Linked DNA regions of Rattus norvegicus. The protein of the gene in region 1 purifies or fractionates together with the protein of each later gene. This does not show direct contact. Links are inferred from orthologs where the notes say so. Each region holds a gene or a part of one and is shown on either strand. Other genes may lie near its edges. The genes, in order: Scfd1 and Nsf.

Evidence for each region.
Region 2: the proteins of Scfd1 (region 1) and Nsf purify together in Homo sapiens (affinity purification with mass spectrometry; 3 studies listed by BioGRID and IntAct, with this or other methods). This does not show direct contact. The link is inferred for Rattus norvegicus from reciprocal best matches to the Homo sapiens genes SCFD1 and NSF.

Annotation. Positions count from the first base shown.
Region 1 is NC_086024.1:74,529,996-74,533,917, forward strand, and holds the start of Scfd1 (sec1 family domain-containing protein 1), read left to right. Parts: upstream 1-1,287; 5' UTR 1,288-1,300; coding exon 1,301-1,346; intron 1,347-3,922. UniProt on the Homo sapiens protein: Plays a role in SNARE-pin assembly and Golgi-to-ER retrograde transport via its interaction with COG4. Involved in vesicular transport between the endoplasmic reticulum and the Golgi.
Region 2 is NC_086028.1:89,315,751-89,319,572, reverse strand, and holds part of Nsf (vesicle-fusing ATPase), read left to right. Parts: intron 1-745; coding exon 746-853; intron 854-1,769; coding exon 1,770-1,845; intron 1,846-3,822.

The DNA.
Region 1 (3,922 bases):
CTCCTAATGTGGTTCAATTATTAAAGCCAAAAAATCTGGAGTTAGATAAACAGCTACAGTAAATTTAGCTCTAAAATCATGGTTTTTATTCTCATAATAATGCAGTATAACTATCATTCTTGGTCTTAGCTTTAATGATTTATGACTCTGAGGGATATATTTTTCTTTATATGTTTATTCCCCGCATTACACACTATCGGGCCGAAATACACAAACATGCACACTGTATAGTGATGTTCGGATTGTCTTAGTATTTTATGATAATGTGCCTTATATAGTCTTGGCAAACTGAAATGGTAAAATGACAAATTTGTACTTAAAAGTGGAATGCTCAGGTAAATACGATTAAACTCAAAATGGAAGGTGGGAAAGACATTCTGCTTCCATGGACGCCAGAATCAAGAATACTTCCCCTACGACGCAAACTGTTAACTTTAGATAGCCTGTTGTAACTTTATAAAAATAGTTATCTTTATATCTGTCAAATAGAGATCATGTTTTTATTGTAAAAAATGTGATCTTGATTTTAAAAAATAAATTATTTGTATAATTTTGAAAGACAAGTTTTTCAAGGTATGATTTCATCTCAGAATCTGACTGCCTCAGAATTAACCCCTAATGCAATGTCATCGGTGGATTCATTTTGATTGGTAATAAGTTGTCATTGTATATATTTTTGATATTAATAAAATCTATTTGTAAACGGTCTATATGGGATTTATTTCACAATCACAGTGCTTTAAATCTACCAAAGCTGTCAGTGATCATCCAAATTCTGCTCAAAATCATTTGTTGTTTTTAGTACACTCCTGAGAAGAAATTGTGCCATTTGGCTTTTCTGTGATTTTATACCCTAGCAGGCCAAAGCCCTAACCTAGGTCATTTTCATGAAGAAATTGCACTGAGAATATTACGTTTGTAGGTTTTGTTTTCAGAGAAAAGAAGAAATTGACACAACTGTCATGGAAATCAAGAAAACGCAATTTCTGGCATTTCATTTGGTCTTGTAATTTTTATGAGGATTTAAACTTCATGAAAAGTGTACTATCAATTAAATTCTAAGCGCTTCTCTGTCCTCATGCCCTGAGAAGCAAAATAAAAGTAGCGACCTCAGGAGGCTTTTCCTGATTGGTGGGAATCGCTGCTGGGAATTCGGGAAAAACCATTGTCTGGGACTAAAGGGGAGGGCCCGGACTGAGGAGGCGGGTCTGCTATCTCTGCACCCGCCCCCTGGATCTACTTCCGGCGCGGGAGGTAGAGCCACGTCATCTTCAGGCTCCGAGTGCCAGCCGGGCAGTGAATGGTGGGAAGCAAGATGGCGGCCAGCATTCGGGAAAGGCAAACAGGTACTCACTCAGTCTTTCCTTCTTTTCAGTTTGTGCCTGAGCGGCGACCTGTCATCACCTCTGAGTTGTAGAAACAGCCCGGAGTTGAGCTTCAAGAGCTGCTCTACTTTGAGGTTGTGAGGGAGAGATGCTTTACAGCCTTTGCCTGTGTTACAAGAGGCTTAAGTAGGCTGGCTGTTTGCTATAGTGTTAGCTACTTATTTTTTAATTACCGAGTTTCAGAAGGCCATCACGGCAAGGACTGGCAGCTGGTGTTTTCTTTCCTATATTGTCACTTAACGAGATCTATAGGTTTGTGTTCGTATTTCAAGCTTCCAGGTTGGTTTAATTTTCACTTTCAGTTTTAGTGATTTTAAAACCTGTTTTTGACACTTGAGCCATGATTACAAAATCTAAGTATTCTTTTCAGAGCTCCTTACTTTATGCCACCTTCTTTGGATTCTATTGGGCGAAGCTGAAGAAAAATGTCAGGTGATAATGATTTCCTCCTGCAGCTTGCAGGAAGAGACTTCAAAATGTCAAAACTAATTTAACAGAGTTGTATTTCAATTGTTTGACAGATAGTAATCTTAAAATGAAAAAGTTGTATCTTATAAGTAGAGCATATTTGTATACCTATTTATAAGGTAAAATTTAAAGATACTTATTTCTTCCCTTGATTTTAGGTTTGTTTTTTATGTGAGGTACTCCTGATTTTCCTTATTTCCAGTAAACAACTCTAGTAACTTTGTGTATTTATACTGGCTCCCAAATAATTATTTATACATATATATGTATATCATGTATAAATGTGATATGTGTAATTCCAAAATGATTTACATATTCTATACTAATTGTCTAGAAACTTCCAAGGAGACTAGAAATAGGCCATAAGCCATAAAGAACTTTAATTCTCTTGAATGTATGCTTATTTGTATTAAAAACAATTAGTTACAAGCAATAGCGTAGCAGTAGAATTTGAACTGTGCCTGATTCCTTCCTTCCCTTGTCTTAAAAAAATGATAGGGGGCTGGAGAGATGGCTCAGCAGTTAAGAGCACTGGCTGCTCTTCCAGAGGTCCTGAGTTCAAATCCCAGCAACCACATGGTGGCTCACAACCGTCTGTAACATGATTTGATGCCCTTTTCTGGCATGAAGGTGTATGTACAGATAGAGTACTTATATACATAAAACAAACAAACAACAAATAAAGTCTTTTAAAAGAAAGTACCATCACTTCAATAAACAAAGTGTATTAAAAATGATAGATTTGAATGCAGCATACTGAACAGAAAAGCATACTGAGTTGTATATTTCTCACTAGGTAATTTAGTAAAACTGGTCACGGTAAAAGATAACTTAAATATGGTAAACAAATACTATTTGAGAATACTTGATAATTTCATTTGCAAGCAAATAGAGGCTCAGCTTCTCTTAGAAGCTTGGTTCTAGTATCTTAATAAAACTAAGTGAATTAGATTTTACTACCCATCAGTAAAACTGTCCTAATTAAAGGGAACCTTTTAAAAGTTGAATTTACACAACAGTGCATTTTAATATGTAGACATTGTAAAGACTAAAACCTAATATTTCATTTTGTCTTTTTGATTATATCAAGAATCCACGTTATTACTATATAGCTTGTTATTAAACTCATACATAAATGGATCATGTGTTATTTTTAGAGCAAAATCCTTTGTAGGAGTAACATTTCATTGATTTCTGTTGAGAATATTTAGGAACAACAATCATCAAATATTCTAGGTAGTAGATTCTTTGCTGCAAAGTAGTTTGCAGTCTGTTTGGGTGGATGAGATGATAGTCAATGCACTGAGAATTTATTGGTTTGGGTAGTTTCCGTTATCTCCATTTTATAGATGAAGAAACTAAAGTACAAAGGTGTTACTAGCATGCCTGTTTCTTGGTCTGTGTCCCTGTAGTACCCTGCCACCTCAAATGCCACCTTCCTTGTGAAAGCTTCATGCATTACTTTTTCTCTTTCCTGTCTTCCATTCAACAGTTAAGAGTAAGCCGCTCCCTCCTCTTCCTATTGCGAGTTCTTGCTTGTCTGTCTCCCTTGTCTCTCAGCCCAAATCAATTACTTTGTCTCTTGCTGTATTTCATCTGGCCTCTTAGCTTTCAGTATTATATATGCTTGTGTCTTGGTCTTCTGTTGCTGTTAAGAGATATCAATCATGAACATGACAACTCTTATAAAGGAAAGCATTTAACTGAGGCTTGCTTACAGTTTCAAAGTTTAGTCCATTATCATCATGGTAGGGAGAACGTTGGCCTGCAGGCAGACATGATGTCAGAGAAGTAGCTGAACGTCGAACATCCAGGTCCACAGATAACAGGGAGATAGAGTCTAGGCTTGGAAGGCACTTTCTGAAACTTCAAAGCCCACCTCCAGTGACACACTTCCTCCAATAAGGCCACACATCCTAATCCTTTCAAATAGTGCCACTCCCTAGTGATCAAGTAGTCAGATCTCATTCTCATTCAAACCACTATAGCTGGTGATTCCCCGGTCTACAAGACTAGTGTAGACTTTTATTCTGAATTCAGACCATTTGATATTAACAAAAGCTTCTTAT
Region 2 (3,822 bases), on another chromosome or scaffold:
GGTTTAACGTTTGACTTTAGATTTAGTACTTAATTAAAACTCTTTGACGTTTGTAATAATTAAAAACCCAATGAAAGACCATGAAAGAAAATGCTTGAAAATAAATATATAACCTATCTGACCACAACCAACGCGCCATTCTTGGTGGTAGTTGTATAGCAGAGTCGGTATTTCCTGTGACAGCTCAACACGTAGAGGAGGCCTAGCTTGTAAAAGGCATTCTGCAGGTCCTTCGTAAATGGACTGTTGGGTTTACAAGGCTCTATGCACTTGTGTGGCTGGCATTTCGTATTTATAGGAAGGGCTGACCCAGCACCGTCATTTACTGTGTCTGAACCCTGATGTATAGTCTGTTTCTGGATCTCAGCTGTCCTGTTTGTTTGCTTTTTGAGACTGGGTCTCTCTATGTAACCTCAACTGTCTGCTCTATAGACCAGACTGGCCTCGATCTTGTAGCTATCCTCCTGCCTTTGCCTCCTGAGGACTGGGATTCAAGGCTGATACCGTCACTGCCCTGCTGGATCTGGGTTTTCTTACAAGTATTTTCCCAAAGTGTTTGTGAGTGTTGACTAAGTCATCACCTGTCATACTGATGCACGAGTTTCCTTTTCCTGTCACTGGGTCTGTGAGTGGTGTGACTATGGAGAAGACCCGAGAAGAGTGGTTTTTCACTCTGGAAAACATTGACGTGGCAGGGAACCATTGTGCCATGAGCTAACCTTCCTCCCATCCCTTCCTTCCACAGCTTGTCTTTAGCTTCAATGATAAGCTCTTTGGATTGCTGGTGAAGGACATCGAAGCCATGGATCCCAGCATCCTGAAGGGAGAGCCTGCGTCAGGTAAAAGGCAGAAGGTGAGCCTTTCTCCTCATCTTTGCTAGGTAATCTTTTTGACATGATGTGTACAGGCTGATATGTTTCCGACTATTCTCCTGTCCTACTGTGTGCTCTCCCTGTGCCCTCCCTGTTGCTGCAGCCTGTGTCGATATGGAAATAGGAATTCAAGTACATCTAACTGCAGATCTACTAGCTGAACACCAGTATCTAGTCTAAGTCAACGGAGACTAACTGTGAAGACGCAGACATTGCCCTGTAGGTGTTTCAGTAAAAAAAAAAGGCCATGTGACTGGTTCTCACGTATACTGCTCTGCGCTACTCTCCCGAGCTCCCTCTGACCTGAGTGGTCTGTGAACCATTCCACCTTGCCACGCTACTTTGCTTTCACTCATAGTTCCCCTGGCGGTTGTTACCACACCAGGCATATACATCTCAATTCCGTGGCGGGCTTGGTGCATCCCACCATTATACCTTCTCTTGAACTCAATTATGTCGACACATGAAAAAACATACCACGCAATAACCCCTGATTCAATTGATAAGATATAATTTGCCCATCTAAACAGCACAAAATCCTGCACACACCCATCCCTTAAACATATTCATAGCCTGTACCTATGCGCAGAGAAGAATCTTAACATCTGCCGCCATGTTCTCCCAGCTCCTTCTCCTTATCCCCTCCCTTCTAAAGCCTCTGTTCCTGCCTCCCTTCCTTCTCGTCCAGTGATAGGCCTCGTTTTTCTTGTCTGCCTTCACCTGCATAATGACATCAACCTACATGTAGGAATTGTAGCAGATAGCTATGAGAAAAGCAAATGTAACTCAGATGACCGGTGGCAACGTTTGCTTTGCACTGAAAGACTTCCTTTCCCCCTCAAATCTAGCCTTGCTTTGAAACATCTATCATGTACTAATTATCACCTTTCTGTTCAGATTGAAGTAGGACTGGTCGTTGGAAACAGTCAAGTTGCATTTGAAAAAGCAGAAAACTCATCACTCAATCTTATTGGTAAGATTTACAGTCTTAGAAAATTTCAAACGAAGTGGCAATGTCTCATATTACTGTGGGATGGGTGGGGGTGGGGGGGAGACCCTTCCCTAAGGCTTGTAGATGCACTGATACAAGAGCTAAAGGCCTCAGCTGTAACAATGGGAAACGCATAGGCACATTTTAATTTTCTTTTCTCATAGCCATACTTAAAAACAATTAACAAGAAGCAATGACGTTTCTCAGTTTGAAATTCTATGATAATTTTAGGCTCACAAATACTTGCGAATGTAGCTCACAGGATCCCAGTAGCCATTGTCCGTTTCCCGTGGACCCCTTGCTGCTGCCCACACTACTGCCTTAGCTTGGATTTCACCGAGGTTTCCATTGTTCCCCTTCTCTCTTCCAGGGTCTCATTCATGCCCATCCCACCCCACATATAGCTTTTCTTCCAACACATTGGGTCTTGTTTACTAGCCTTACTTGGAGATGTTAAGATGTGCTAACTCTAATTTGTGGTTGACACAATTACATTCACGCCTGTCCCGGTAGAATAGAGAAGTTTTTCATTGGCTACACAGCCTTGTCCAAAATTACTTAACTTTGTTTAAATGTAGTTTAGGGGAGTTTTGTTTTGTTTTGTTTTTGGCGGGGGGGGGGGGTGTTTTGTCTTTTAGTCAATAATTTACTTACCAGTCTCTATTGCTATTTCTTTTACCTTTCTAGCAAAAGATTGTCTTATTTTCCATTGTGTGTGTCCTTGTGTGAGTATGTGTACTGTGTCCAGGTGTCCTTGGAGGCCACAGGGCGGCGTCAGATCCCCTGGACCTGGTGTTGTGGGTGGTTTGAAGGCTCTCAGCATGCGTGCTGAGAGTCAGGCTAAGGTCCTGTGTAAGAGCAGTGCATGATCTTAACTGCTGAGTCTTTTCACCAGCCCAGACTTGCCTCGAACTTGTAGACCTCTGGCTTCCAGCGCCCTAACATGCTGGGATCAAAGGTGCACGCCACATGCCTACGGACAAGCATAAACTCTTGCTCTAAATTTGATTTTATTTGTATATTATTTCATAATTTATCCTGCATAGTTTGTGTGTTTGAGCATGTGTGGCATAGTACATGTTTGGAGGTCAGAGGACAACTTTCGAGTCAGTTCCACTGTGTGAGCCCCAGGGTTCAAACTCATGCTATTCATCCATAAGAGCCTTAACTTACCACACCAGTAACCCCTAACTTGCTTCTTTTTTTTTTTTTTTTTTTTGCTTAACATGTTTCAAGCATCTTAACTATATCTCTACAATAGGATTTTAATGCCCTCCCCAAAATTATTTTTATGAAGGCCATCATGTCCTACTACTGACACCGGATATTTTTGATGTGATTTTTCTTGTATTTTACTTTCGTACATCTTTTGTTAAAATACCTTATCCCAAGGCAGGTCTATAACTTTCGTAGGTGTTTTCAAGTTAACTTGAAACAACTTTTCAGTTGGAAAATGAATTTGTATAGTGATTTGGTTTGCAGTAAACTTGACCACAAGATGGCAGTAGAGTATAAGCAAAATATTTTTGATCCTCTAAAGGAAAGCTTTAGTCTACAAAATTCTAACCAGAAAATTACCTGATTTTTTTTTTTTTTTAAAGTGTGGTGTTATCTTCTTTGGCTTTGTAAAAATTGTATTTCCCCCTTTTTCTGTTTAGAGCGTACCATAAGGCATCTTGTTCTTTGTGTCCAAGACAGGCTTGGTTCTCTGGAGTTACTTTAGGTGACAGTCTGACATTTAAATTAAACAGTTTGTATCATGAGAGAATTTGTAGGTTTAATTTTTTCAGTCCTTAGAGTCGTTAGTTTTTTGTTTTTGTATTTTTTTTTTTAATCCCCATGTGACAAGCCACCAGATTCATTCCACATATCTTCATAGGCCCAGGTCTAGGTAAATACATGTATCTCACACACACTAGGAGCTGTGAGCCAGCGCTTGCTGTCAGTGACGCTTCTGGA